2 linked regions of the Sus scrofa genome follow. The protein of the gene in region 2 interacts with the protein of the main gene of each other region in a biochemical or structural test. Links are inferred from orthologs where the notes say so. Each region holds a gene or a part of one and is shown on either strand. Other genes may lie near its edges.

What was found.
Region 1: the proteins of TRIM72 (region 2) and UBE2H form a complex in vitro, tested with the Homo sapiens proteins (2 studies listed by BioGRID). The link is inferred for Sus scrofa from reciprocal best matches to the Homo sapiens genes TRIM72 and UBE2H.

Annotation. Positions count from the first base shown.
Region 1 is NC_010460.4:18,817,896-18,825,571, forward strand, and holds the start of UBE2H (ubiquitin-conjugating enzyme E2 H), read left to right. Parts: upstream 1-2,574; 5' UTR 2,575-2,701; coding exon 2,702-2,742; intron 2,743-2,762; exon of another isoform or gene 2,763-6,030; intron 6,031-7,676. UniProt on the Homo sapiens protein: Accepts ubiquitin from the E1 complex and catalyzes its covalent attachment to other proteins. E2 ubiquitin conjugating enzyme that transfers ubiquitin to MAEA, a core component of the CTLH E3 ubiquitin-protein ligase complex.
Region 2 is NC_010445.4:17,289,192-17,296,094, forward strand, and holds part of TRIM72 (tripartite motif-containing protein 72), read right to left. Parts: intron 3,732-6,903; coding exon 3,636-3,731; intron 3,525-3,635; coding exon 3,294-3,524; intron 3,114-3,293; coding exon 3,091-3,113; intron 1,600-3,090; coding exon 1,481-1,599; intron 332-1,480; coding exon 1-331. UniProt on the Homo sapiens protein: Muscle-specific E3 ubiquitin-protein ligase that plays a central role in cell membrane repair by nucleating the assembly of the repair machinery at injury sites.

The DNA.
Region 1 (7,676 bases), on a different chromosome or scaffold from region 2:
CCCTACCTTCTCCAGGGTAGTCCAGAACAAGTCTCTCTAAATAAATACTTCGCTAATAATTTTTGCTTAGTGCTTAGATCACGGCAGCATAACATCTGTGAGAATTAAAGCAGCAGGGAAAATTTCTAGATCCCTCTATGCCCTTTTTACTCAAGTATCCCATCCCTGATCAGTTTTTTCTGTTCTGGAAAAAATATCTGTGGGTTCTCTGAGCTTACCACCTTGCTCTCAGGTGGGGAAGAAACCTCCTTATTTGCAGAGGAGGTTATGGAAGTGCAGGACCCACCTAGAGGGGTCAGGCAGGTGTTTGGCAAGTGCTGAGGCCTATGGTGGAATCTATCAGGAGTGGTTCTCAAACTTTGGCCTGCATCAGAATCATCTGGGGAGCTTGTTAAAGACTTAGACATCCAAGCCCCACCCTCGACCCTCTGAATCAGAATTCCCAGGGTGGGGCCTGGACATTTGTGAGCTTAACAAGCTCCCCAGGTGATTCAGAAGTACACCAAAGCTTGGGAATCACAAGAGTGGGAGATACTCAGGTGAAGGAGAGTGGGGAGCCAAGTTTGGCTCCAGGTTTGTGTGTGTGTGTGTATAGCTGTTACATAAGGGGACCCAACTCACAGCACATGGTTTGACAAAATTCAAATGTATTCATGGGAACAAGGGAATAGATAAAAATTTTGAAAACAGGTGGCAGTGAAAATGGGATATAAATACAAGAGCTGCCTAGAACACTTTTTCCTGCCTCCTTTGGCGGGTTGACTTCTGGGTTCCGCGTCACTTCTTTTGGAGAGCTTTGTAGAGCGGTGTATCTCAAACTTTACTACACAAAGGAATCACCTGGGGACCTTGTTAAATTGCGAATTCTAATTCAGTAGGTCTGTGGTGGAGCCCTAGCCTGCATTTCTAACAAGTTCCCAGGTGATGCTGACACTCTAAATCTAGACCGTATTGGGAGTGCCGTGTAAATTTAAAGTATTTCTTAGTTCACCATATCCTCATGTCCAGCAGGGTGATGACTACAATAGGTGCTCAATAAATACTTACTGAATGATGAAGTATATGGGGTTGATATAGGAGTTTGGAGGGCAGAACAATTTGCCTGAAGAAGAGCATGTTTGGGGTATTTCTGCTTCTATCAGTCATTCATTTTGTGAAATCACCTCATACTGAATAGAATAAGGATGTTAGTACTAAATTATTTCTGGCCTTGTGGCCTGGCCGCCTCAACTCTAATCCTTGAAAAGGTGACCCTATACACAGGAGCATAGCAAACTCTGATTTGCAAGCTCAGAGATGCCTTGCTCTAGTCTACAATCCATGCAAACAAATTCTCTCCCTCCAAGGAGGGAGCAGAGTGCAGGGAAATGCTTGTGTAGGAATTTCCAGATTTTGGTGACTGGGTTAATTGCCACCTTGGCTTCCTCAAATCAAATAAACAGAATTTTTAACAGTGTACGTGGGAAGGAGGGTCATTACCCTAAAATACATGGATGTAATAATAGTGCCATTATTTAACCATTATCGTTTATGATGATGATAACGACACTGGCAGTTGAGCGATTAAGTGTGTGGGGGAGTTGGGGGAGGGGGCGGAGAGCTGGGCGGTCAGGAGAAAGTGGAACTACATCTCCCAGAATCCCTCGAGAAAAGTTCACGCCGCGGCGGCGGCGGCACCCCACCCCTTTTGCCAGCCGGACCCGCCCCCTCCGATGACGTCACAGAGGTGACGTCACGGCGCCCAGAGCGAGGCTGGGGTAGAGAGGCCGACTGAGCAGGAATCGTCCGCTTGTCGTGGAGGCTGCTAGGGAGCCGGCGAGAGGGTGAGCGGGCGAGCAGGCAAGCAGGCGAGCGAGCTAGAGCAGGAAGGAGGGAGAGTCGCGCGGCACAGAGGCGCGCCGGGGCTGGGCCGAGGCGGAACCCACAGCCGGAGAGGGGCAGCCTGAGCCGGGCGCCGCGGGGTCCCCACCCCCACTCGGCCGGACAGTGCCCGGTGTTCCCCCGTGCGGGGGGCGGCGGCGGCGGCGGCGGCTGACGGGACCGGACAAGACCGCGGGGGTGTTGCCACCTCCACCGAGGAGCCGGCGCGACCGCGGGCTCCTCAGAGCCGGGGCCCAGGGCCCGTGACAGACGGGCCGAGGAAAGGAGAGAGGCGGCGGCGGCGCAGGCGACGGGGAGGCAGCGGCGACACCATGTCATCCCCTAGTCCGGGCAAGAGGCGGATGGACACAGACGTGGTCAAGCTGTATCCTTCGAGGAGGGGGGATTCGGGCTGTATGTGGGGGGCAGTATGGGGATGCCCACGGCACCCCCTTGAAACCTAAACAGGGGCCCAGGGGCACTCCAGGCCACTGTCCGAGGCTCCTTCTTTCGTCTCCCTCCCCCCAGTGCCTACGGAGGCTCCTTGGCACCTCCCAGGAGCTGAGAGCCTTCTCGGCTCCCCCTTTATCTGCAGCACCCCGAAATGTGCGTTGTTCCACGCTCTTTCTGCACCCCCAGTGCCCGTGACTTTTCTCCACGACGTTTGGACTCCCAAAACGGCTTTTTTTTTTTTTTCTTTCTTTTCTTTTTTTTTTTTTTTTGCAGGACCAGCCACCTCTCTCCACTACAGAGCCCACGTTCTTTTTCCTCTCTGCTCGCTCTGGATTTAGGGACTCGATATAGAAATTCCCGAGAGTGAAGCCTTTCTCCTGTTCTTGAGATGCCTCCATTCCCTCCACTCACAATGCTTCTTGAACTGGGGTAACTCAAGTGACCTCCTTTATCCCTAATTCCTTTCTATATTAGGAAGAGAGTATTCTACTCAGTGCCCCCTCTTGTAATAAAGAGCTCTGAGTGTTTTCAATCCGAGACCCCTGTTAAGCTTCCTTGTCCCTGGAAGAACCCCACCGACAATGCCTATCCCACCCATAGTTGTATTTGGTGAGGACCCCCAGGCCCTCCAGCCAGCCACCCTCCATATTGTGGCTATGACAGCTGTGGGGAGGGAGAGAGAAAGAGGATCTCCCTGACTAAATAGCCCCTGTGCTAGCCATTTAAGCAAACTCCCTGTTTGAGAATAAGGTTCTTGGGGAATAATTATCCTGATCTTGCCAAATGACACCCTTTATTTTCCGACCCCCCCCCCAACTTTGTGTACTCTGAAGGTAGCAGTGGGACAGCTCTAACTGATAAGAGTCCTTCAGGCAGTGGTTTTGGTTGGAGTCCAGACTGATTATTTCATGACCAGCTAGAGAAATTCGCGAAGGTTCTTGGGACAAATCGAGACATTTTTTTGAGGGGTAATTTAGAGGGTGGGGGGAGAGAGGAAATGAGCCCAGTGTTGTGAACAGCTAATCCCTGGGGAGAGGGGAATCCGGGTGGGGAGTGGTAGTGTGAGAAACGCAGTTGAAAAGTCTGTCTCTCCTGCTTCTTGTTTCTCCCTCACCCCATCCCCCCACCATTTCCCCCTGTTGCAGGGTTTTGTTTATATAACTCAAGTTGTTTGGCTAGATTCTTCAGGTGAATTCCTTCTTTCTTCCTTTTATTGTTACTGTTTTTGATTGGACGTTTTGCCTCATTGCAGAGATCAATGATTATTGTTAAGTATTCTGTTAAGGAATTCGCTGAAGTTTTTAAAAAGTAGTTTTTGCATTTGATTTGGAAGTGGGGGATGGGAGGGAAGTTGCCTGGGCAAGTGATTTTCCCCCCGCATAATCTTTTCAGGAACAAGGTGTTTTTCTCCTCGCTCGGGAAAACTTGATTAGAAATTACAAACAGTAGATGAACTTGCAAGTTTTGTGGTTTGAAGTTTAGAATTTTGGAGAGGTTGAAGTGGGGATTAGAGAGAGGAGCATGTAATAAAGTATATATTTTGTACCAAATGTATGTCTAGGCACAAGTGAAATTGACCCTTGGGCTGTGATTGAGTTTTGTAAATGTGTGAATGATACCAGTAATGTTGGCCTTAAATACAGTGGCAGGAAAACTTGTAACTATGGCTGTGTGTACCTTTTACACAAAGCAGTTTCAGGTTTTATTTTTGTTTAGAAACTAGGAAATGACATGATGGCAGAACCTGAGTTATTTTTATCTTGAATTGAGACTGTCACACCTAATGCAAATTTCTACCTAATGTTAAATTGGGATGGGTGGGGGAGAGAGAATTCCAGCTGTCTTTGATCAATGTCAGATTCTCAAATTATATACTTCTATATTTTTTAGAAAACTGAGGATAAAGGGTGAGGCCTAACTTGACCTGATGCCTTTTCCATACAGTGCCTTTTGTTCATTTAGTAGTTGTGGCATCTAGAATGATTACCGTATTTAGGAGTCGGGGTGTGGGGGGTGGAGAGGGAGAGGAAAACAGACAAAGAACAGCAGGGTGTCTTTCTTTTTTTTCTTCCCCTAAGTGGCTTATTTCATAGCTTATTTTTAGTAGAAGATGAAGAAAGGCAAAGATGCATTGGCCTTCTGTTCTTTCCCCACCTTCCTCCTTTCTGACAAAAGAAAGCAGAGGCGCTTTAAAATCGTAGATGTCTGAGATAAGAGGACCACAGTCTCAGGATTTAGAAGCCAGAGGTTATCTTTGTTTCGAGTCTGTTATTTTCTGGTCTAAGTTAAATTTTTTGTATTTCCTTTTGTGTGTGCCTGTGTGTTGTGGGGCTGAGAGATTTTGTGGCCTCCTTTCTGTGCTGAATTCACATTAGTAGGCACAAATGGAGACTACGATTTTTGAGCAAGGTATATTTAGCACAAAATTTAAGGAAAAATTCCCAACGCACTACTAAAATGAACACAATTGTGTGAAAGCGCCGAGGGTTGAAAATGAAAGATGGTGGAGAGGAAGTGGGAAAGGTCTGAAGGAATGTACTTGCTTTTTACCCCCCCAGTGCCCCTTGGTGATTTCGTTGGTATGGAGGCTGATAGCCGGTTTCGTTGCAGTCTTGTTTCAGCCCATTTTTGGATGTCTCCTGAGCGTAATTATGCCACCACGATTTACAGCCTGGCAGGGAACCTATATAGTAGGAAAGTAGCGGTGTGGGGGTAGGGAGAGAAGAGGATGTGTAACTAATTGGCCACTGCCTTCCACTACCTCGTAGGTTCTTTCCGAGACGCTGTCCCTGGTTGTTTGGAGTCGGTGATATTTCTTTTGTGACGGGTTGGTAGGAGGAAAGCTGACTTCCAAGTTATGGAGGGAGTGAGTGTTTTGCACCAATGCATTTAATAATCTGGGCGATTATGTTCTGAAACTCTGACTCATTCATTGTTTCTCTTCTGATCCTTTGCTGAGGGTTGTGCAAACCTCTCCAGGAGCCTAGAAACTGATGTACATGACTTTTGGGCCCTGTAGGAATGTGTCCCAGTCAAAAAACTTGCAGTGAGCCCAAATCCTGTGGAATGGTGGTTTTGAATAGTGTTGCTGTTTGTTTGCAAAGTCAGGTAGATTGGTGATCCTGTGCTGTTCCCAGCCTGGCAAGCTTTGAGGTTTCTATCTCAAACCTGCCCGATTATTTAGATTGTCTGAGAACTGGGACTCTGGTGACCTTAAAGCGTGATTTGCCCTAAAGGAATATCGGTTTAAGTTCTCCTGGGTGGAGGAACAAACAGCTCAGATTACACGGGTTTCCTTGTTGGTGGGGGTTACTCGTCTCACCCTGTTGCACAGCCTGGTGATCCTTTTATCTGTGAACCAGTGGCCCCTGCTGAAGGCTAGAGCTGCTTGTTTTGGAAAAGCGTATGCAGGCAAAAGGCCGCAGGCACAGCTCCTCACAGCTCATTGGCTGCTCTGTTACTACCCGGAAAAGGAGGAGGGGCGGAGCTACCAAACAGCTGATGGAGTGTGTGATCAGAGTGTGTTTATATATACAAAAGAAGTAGGGGCTGGCGAGGCCTTGTGAGTGGTGTTACCGATCAGGTGTATTTTCAACAAGTAAAAAGAGGAGAGGAAAACCTGCCTTGTTAGAGTACAAGAAAATGTTCAAGGTTAAATCAGAAAAGTGGATCTGATAATAATGGGGGCTCGGCATGCAACTGTATCTTGTTCTTGAGGTGAGATTTTGGAACTTATTTTTATAATACCAAAAGTTTTCAGAGTCCCTTTTTCAAAGTGTGTAACTTAAAAACTGGATAGCCACCACTTTAAATGTATTTCACTGATTCCTGCAGGGATGCAAAAGTATGGTAGAAATGTTAAGCTTTCCTTACAAAAGTTTTAACAGTAATGTCCAGAAAGGGGCAGTAACTTATACTGAATTTATTAACAGCAGTAGTCAGTCACAGAAACCTAGATTTCTGCTTTAGGGTTTCAGAAGCTTTCAATAACGAATTCATCGCCTCACACATTTGTGCACCCTCTTTGTGCCAGGGGGCTAGATGCTGCGGGTTTAGTAGTGAAAAATTCAGTGTGTGTGGTCATGAAGCTTATGTAACCAGTTAAACAATTTAAAAGAAAAAGTATTTATTGCAGGTGAGCGCTGTATCACCTTGTTTTTTGAATAACTTGTACTTTCAGAACTGACTTTTTAAGGAATAGAAAGTTTAAAGTGAATTTTATGTAATGGGATGTATGGGAATCTATATTCCTGTTATTTAAAAGATAGATGTTAAAAAACTGAAATAAAAACAAATGTTAAAATGTGTAGCCATTTGTCTTTGACTTCAGCTTTGGTATTTTGCTAATCAGTAGTTAATCAGTAGTTATTCTATTCCTAAGTTAGTAGTCTTTGTTGCTCTTTAATTTGTATTTAAAGTGTAGACAGTTCTGTAATCTTTTAACTAGCTCCAGTGACAATTGGGAACCTGTGGTTTGCCTTTTATTTCCTGTGGCCTCTGTTTGAGTGAGATGATGAGATGGAAGGAACGTGGAACAGTTTTATGGTCTTCAAGCTAAAAGTTAAAGCTTTGGCAACTCCCAGTGTTCTGAATTTGTCTTCTCTGCCTAGGTTTTGGTGACAAATATAACATACCGGTACTTATTTTGGTTAAGCAGGAACCTATATGAGTAAGCATTTACAGCTTCAGAACATCTGATTGCTGCAGTGCAGTTCTAGTAAATTACACACAAGCCTAAAAATTCAGCTTTAGGGGAAAACAATCTTTTGCAGATGTGACCCATAAAAATCCCTTACCCAGTTTGTGTGTGTGTGTTAGAAGAACCTGGTTTCGTTGGTTTTCTAGTACTGTGCAGTTTTCCCAGCACCTTGACCTGCATACTAATATCTATATATTATATGTGTATATAATTATAGATATATAATTTAGTATCTTGTTTCAGTCTTAGAAGATTTGATGATTCTAAGAATCACTGGATTTTTAGGCATGCAATTCAGACCTTCAGAAGTGCTTTATAGTGTAATAGCTTTTTAACTGTAGGCCTACAGTGTACAGTGTATGTTTTAGGAAAATACTTTAATGAAAAAGATTAGATTATATAGTAGTAAGATAATTGGGAAAAATATACATTATAAAAAAGACAAAACAGTCACCCTTATGTCTATCCTTTAAACAGTGGTTCCCAGACTTTAGTGTGATCTTAATTACCTGGAGTGTTTGTTAGAGTGGATTGCTGGGTCCCATCCTTGGAATTGTCCGATTCAGAGTGGGTGGGAAAACTTATATTTCTGAAAAGTTCCCAGATGATGCTGATACTATTGGTCCAGGGACTACAAATTAAGCACCCTTGTCCTCAAATGTTA
Region 2 (6,903 bases):
GCCTCGACGTGAGCCTCCAGGATCTTGCCCTCGCGCAGCCCGAGCAGCCAGAGGCCCTGCGAGGGCACGGCGTGCAGCCGGCCGCGGCGACCGGCCTGGGCCCCGATCACGCCCAGCGCCCAGCGTGGCTTGTCGCCCACCTCCACCTCCCAGTAGTGCTCGCCTTCCGACAGCAGCTGGTGCGTCACCACCGCCACCGCCTTGTCGAACTGGCGCGGGTCCTCTCCGGCCGGCGGCGCCTTCTGCTCCGAGCACTCCACGCGGCGGCCCGAGGCCGACAGCACCAGGCTCGGGTGGGCCGTGCTGGGGTCAAAGGTCAGCTCCTGCATCGCTGTGGGAGGGAGGAGGGTCTCGCCGCCGAGGGCTTGGCTCCCGCGCGCCTTCTCCCGCCCCCCTCTGTGGACCCGCTTTGCCTCCTCTGATCCTCGCAGCACCTCTGGGAGGTGAGCCCCTCTCTGCTTCCTGGCTTGGGCCACCGAGCTGACCTCTCTGGGCTTCTGTTTGTTCAGCTGTAAAATGAGGCCGTCATTGCCTCCTTCCAGGGTTGGGGGGAGGATGTAGTCCATACCAGGCATGTCACTTGCCATCTAAGTCCCCAGCGCAGGGGACAGTCAGGAAGCCTGGTACTGGGCCAGCTCCTCCCTCACCTCCATCGGTCTTGACCCGGTCTCTGGGCTCTAGTTTTGTCTTGGATGAAACAGAGGACCCTCCATTCCCACCAATGGGGGCTGCACCAGCCGTGTGTGTGTGTGTGTGTGTGTGTGTGTGTGTGTGTGTCCCCTAGAGCGCCCCCAACTGTAGCTCCAACATGCTCTACCTTTTTTGTTATTGTTGTTGTTGCTTTTTAGGACCGCGTCCGAGGCTAGGGGTAGAATCAGAGCTGCAGCTACCCTCCACAGCCACAGCCACAGCCACAGCCACCCCAGACCCGAGCTGCATCTGTGACCTACACCACAGCTCACAGCAACATGGGATCCTTAACCCACTGAGCGAGGCCAGGGATCAAACCACATCCTCATGGATACTAGCAGGTTCGTAACCTCCTGAGCCACAATGGGAACTCCATGCTCTAGCTCTTGAGCAGAGGAGGCTGAGCCCCTGGGCTTCCCCAGCCACAGGCCAGAGTCAGTGTCTGACTCCAGGGTTCCAGCTCTGCAGGTCCTCAGCCCCCAGTTAGCAGGGATTATCATCACCATCCAGCAGGGGCAGGGACAGGCCAAGGCTCAAGCCTCCTCTGGGCCAACGGCAGCGGCAGCCTTCCAGTAAGCAGTGTTCTCTCCCTGTCAGTCACCCATCTGAAACCCCACGCCCTCCAAGGCCCTTCTCTGAGCACAGGTTACAAGGTGCAGGGAAACCCCGAGGGAAGGGCGCCATGGGCACCTTCTTGGATGACCAGAGGGGATGGGGGCACCCCTGGAGGGGGGGCTCCCACCAACCACACAGTTACACACACAAACCCAGAGGGAGCCCCTCCCAGTACCTGGCATCAGGGCCCGGAACATCTTTCTCCACACCTGGAATTTGAAGTCGTCTGAGATGACAGGCAGCTGAATGTCCAGGCGGGCAGGTGGGGGCGACTCTGCCAGGATCTTCTGCAGCCTGGGGGGTGGGGAGGTGGGGGGAGGTGAAAGGACTTCCTGGAGGAGGGAGGGAGGGAGGAAGGGGAGGGCAAGCCACAGTAACCAGGCGCGAGGAGGACAGGGGCTGTGGTGGAGACCTAGGCTCTCCCCCGCATCCCACCCTGGCTTAAAACTCCTCTGTGGGCAGTTCAGTTGGGGAAGATGAAAAAATTGCAGAGCTGGATGGTAGTGATGGTTGCACAACCACGTGAAGGTACTTAATGCCACTGGACTGAAAATGTACACAAACAAATGGCTAAAATGGTCATTTTCATGTTATGTGTATTGTATCAGAATTTTTTTCTTCTATCTTTTTAGGGCCACACCTATATCATATGGACATTCCCAGGCACGGGGTCTAATTGGAGCTGCAGCTGCCAGCCTATGCCACAACCACAGCCACACCAGGTCTAAGTCACCTCTGCGACCTACGCTACAGCTTGTGGAAACACCGGATCCTTAATTAACCTACTGAGCAAGGCCAGGAATTAAACCTGCATCCTCAAGGATACTAGTCAGGTTTTTGTTTGTTTTTTCAGAATTCCCGGGCCGGTGATCAGATCCAAGCTGCAGTTGAGACCCGAACCACAGCTGCAGCAGTGTGGGATCCTTAAAGACCCACTGTGCCAGGCCAGGGATTGAATCCTAGTGCTCCCAAGATGCCACCAATTCTGTTGCACCACAGCAGGTACTCCACTAGTTGGGTTCTTAACCTGCTCAGCCACAACGGGAACTCCTTACCAGGATTTTTTTCAAAGCCATCAGTTGCTTTAAAGTCCAGCTCCTGCGCCCTGCACAGTGCGGCCCCTCCTGCCCCAGCAGCTTCCCCCTTCCCTCCCTCTTAGCACCCTTTGCCCTTGCTGGTCCCTCTGCCTGCAATGCTCTTCCACCAACTCTGGGTTTTTTTTTTTGGGGGGGGGCGGTTGTGTGTGTTTTTAGGGCTACACCCAAGGCATATGGAGGCTCCCAGGCTAGGGGTCGAATCAGAGCTACAGCTGCCAGCCTTCACCACAGCCACAGCAACATGGGATCTGAACCGAATCTGTGACCTACACTACAGCTCAAGGCAACACCAGATCCTTAACCCATTGAGCGAGGCAAGGGATTGAACCCACATCCTCTTGGAATCTAGTCAGGTTTGTTAACTGCTGAGCCACGACGGAACTCCCTCCACCAGCTCTTCACCTGGCCAACTTCTGCTCATTCCTTCAGCATCCAGCTCTAATGCACACCCCTCTGGACGGCGACCCTGCCCCCCCACCACAGCAGCACTGAAGGATGCCTGTGTCTCTGCCCATGGCTGCTGCCAGCACCAGTCTGCGAGGCCCCTTTGGAGAAGGACAAGTCAGTTCGTTCGTATGTCCACATCTAGGGGATCCCAGAAGACGGAATGGGAGCAGAGGGTGAGCCAGCCAGCATCCCTGGCAGACAAGGACAAGGTGGGAAAGGGGCAGGGCCAGGCTGATCTCACCTGCTGGTCACCAGGCAGTATTTCTGGAAAGAGAGAAGAAGAGAATGGAGATGAGGTAGGCTTTGGGGACAGGGGTGGGGCGCACCCCTCCTCTGTGCCTGGTGCCTGGTCCCTGGACCTCAGAGACAAAGTGACAATGGAACGAGGTCTCAGGGGCCTGAACCCTGGCTGCGGGGCAGAGAGGAAAGCCATCCAATGCTCACCATGAGGAACTCGGTCTGGGGCTTGTCTGCCACCTCCTCCAGCACCTTCTCCATCTGCCGCAGCTGCTCCAAGTAAGACTTCAGGCTCCCCAGCTCCCTCCGCAAGGCGACCCCCGCCTCACCCCGCACACGCTCTGCTTCTCGGTCCAAGGAGCCCTCCAGTGCAGCCAGGAACAACCGCATCTTGCCCAGCTGCTCCCCCACTGCCCCCCGGAACTGACGCACCGTCTCCTGAGGGGGAAGACAGGCAAAAGCATTTGGCTGGGGACCCCCAGCCTGGACCCACACACACACCAGGCCTCCCCACCCCCACCCCCCACTCTGCCGCCCCAAGCCCCTCACCTCCACTTCCACCAGTTGTTGCTCCAGCACACCCACGCTCTTCTCCTTCCGCATACACGCCTCCTGCAGCTGCAGCTTCTGCTGCGGGAGCTGCGTCTGGGGGTGAGGCATAAAGTGATGTTGCAGGAGTTCCCGTCGTGGCACAGCAGAAACAAATCCGACTAGGAACCAGGAGGTTGCGGGTTTGATCCCTGGCCTTGCTCAGTGGGTTAAGGATCCTGCGTTGCTGTAGCTGTGGTGTAGGCTGGCAGCTGTAGCTCCAGTTGGACCCCTAGCCTGGGAATCTCCATATGCTGCAGGTGCGGCCCTAAAAAAGAAAAAAAAAAAAAGCGATGTTGCAGCCCACCTCTCCCACCAAAGCCATACCTCTCCGCCTTAACCTGTCCCCTCTGGCTCAGCTTCAGTGCCAGCTCCTCTTCCAGCCAGACTGGCACCCTGCCATTCCCCAAACGCATCTGCTGGTCTCCAGCCCTTGCCAGTACTGGTTCTGATGCATAGATGCCTCCTCCTCCCAGTGGCTGCCAAGTCCATCCTGGCCTTGCCTGCCCTGATTCTATCCCCTCAGCAGACAGTGCCGCCAGCAGAGGTCGCTGTGAGGATGACGATTTTAAATGCGGTTTGGTCTCCTCCCCTGGAGTGCTAAGGGCTTGGCACACAGCAGGTGTCAGAGGCGATGGTAGGATGTATAAAGAAAAAAGGCAGGAGTTCCCACTGTGGTACAATGGGATAAGCAGGATCTTGGGAGCACTGGAACTCAGGTTCGATCCCCGGCCTGGCACAGGGGTTAAGGATCTGGCGTTGCCACAGCTGTGACTTCGTTCAAGGCTGCTGCTCAGATCTGATCCCTGGCCTGGGAGCTCCATATGCTGTGGGGTGGCAAAAAAAAAAAAAAAAAAAGAAGAAGAAGAAGAAGAAAGGCAGCCTCCTCTTATTTCACCCTAAAAGCTGAACCTTAGCAAAATACCCTAATTGGCCTCCCTGTATACCAGTGGGTTCTGGGGGTAGGCGATTAAACAAAAGTGTCTTCTGCAGGGAGGAACCAAATATATCTGTGGGCCAGCTCCTACTCTAGGTCTGTCCCGTTGTGACTCCCGAAATGCCAGTGGCAAGGAGTTCCTAATACCACTAGCCAGGGTGTTCCCATTGTGGCTCAGTGGTAACGAACATAATTCGTATCCATGAGGACTCGGGTTCAATCCCTGGTCCTGCTCAGTGGGTTAAGGAGCCGGTGTTGCCATGAGCCATGGTCTGTAGGTCACAGACGCAGCTCAGATCCCGCATTCTGTGGCTGTGGTGTACGCCGGCAGCTCCGAATCAACCCCCAGCCTGGGAACGCCCATGTGCCGCAGGTGTGGTCTTAAAAAGAAAAAAAGAAAGAAAGAAAAAGAAAGACCACTAGCCAAAGCCACTGTTTGCTGGGAGGTGCCAGCTCTGGAATCAAATCAGTCCATTCCTGCCTCCATGGCTTTCAACACTTTTCCTCTTCCACAGAATGGGAACAGTCACCCCCCACCTCCCCCTAGAGGACACTAGGAGACCCTCTAGGCACTGTTTGCTGATGAGTACCCCCCCACTGGCAGGAGCCACAGAATCAGACTGTGGGCGCTGGTGGCCAGCAGCCAGGTCAGTCTCCTCCCAGGACGTCCTCTGGGGCTACAGCCCCTCCTGCTGCAGGCTGTTCTCAACCCTCCGAAGGTCATGGGTGACAGGACTGAGCCACGGGGACCAAGCACGACACCATCCTGGCTGTGCGAAGGCCGTTGGAACCCCCACAGTGGAGGGAGGGGGAGCGGTGCTCAGTGCCCTGCGAGGCCAATCTTGGAGACAGGCTGGTCTCCTACTGCGAGGGCACAACGGGGGACGCAGCATGGGAGACATTCAACCACTCTTTTTTTTTTTTTTTCTTTTTAGGGCTGCACCCTTGGCATATGAAGGTTCCCAGGCTAGGGATCAAATCAGAGCTGCAGCGGCCAGCCACAGCCACAGCCACATGGGATCTGAGCCGCGTCTGCAACCAACACTGCAGCTCAGAGCAACCACCAGATCCTTAACCCAGTGAGCAAGGCCTGGGATCGAATCCACATGCTCATGGATACTAGTTGGGTCATTAACACTGAGCCACAACAGGAACTCCCATTCAACCGTTCTTGAGTCTTGGCACATGGTCTCTGGATCCAGCCCCCCTTCCTCGCCAAGGACCCAGGCACCCACTGCTGCTCCAGACTCCCTGCCGGCCTCCTCCTTCGGGCTCCTCCCAGGGATACCCCTTCAGAACTCCACTAGCCCCTTCCTTCAGGGTGGGGCTGATGCAGACCCTACCCAGCTACTCGAGACTCCCGGGCCACCCCCTGCCCAGTTCCATTTCAGGGACTCCATTCTCTCTTCACAGATAAAGATGGACAATGCTGGGAGTTCTGAGGTTATCAGCAGATGTGAGCCTGAGTGCAGAGGACTCCCAGGAGGAGGAAACACCTCCCTGGACTAGGAGACCCCCAGCCAGCACCGGACTGGACTGGACAAGGGCAGAGCAGGGAGACTGGTAAGGTTGGGCTCCTCTAGTAGGAGTCTGGGGACCTCGAATACCAGCCTAAGGACAGGGATCTCCACTTCCTAGGAGTCTGGGGGCCAAGGAGAAGTGCCATGCAATGCTGATGTCTGTGCACAAAGATTACCTGCAGAAATGGCCACCCCCATCCCAACAGCAGCCTCGAGAAGATAATTGCAGCTTCATGGCAGAGACCACAGACAGAGGACTGCTGCATGCCACCAAACCCTGCCTCCTCCCGCCCCCGCACCTGTTGTGTATTTTTCCAACAACCCTACAAATGCTTCATGACAGACCTCTTTCAGCCCGTGCAGACACATACCCTCCCTTAGCTGTGACTGTGATGAGCCACATGCATGACAGCTGAAGCCAGTATGGGCCTACGGCTCCATTTGCCAGTGTTTAGGTGTCTTTGCTGGGCACCCGTGGGGATCACAAAGCTGCGGGTGCGCACAACTGTGTGTGGGCTCTGGAGGCGTTTAGAACTTCCAGCTCCAACCACAAAAACAGCCTGGGGAGTTCCCGTCGTGGCGCAGTGGTTAACGAATCCGACTAGGAACCATGAGGTTGCGGGTTCGGTCCCTGCCCTTGCTCAGTGGGTTAACGATCCGGCGTTGCCGTGAGCTGTGGTGGAGGTCGCAGACGCGGCTCGGATCCCGCGTTGCTGTGGCTCTGGCGTAGGCCGGTGGCTACAGCTCCGATTCAACCCCTAGCCTGGGAACC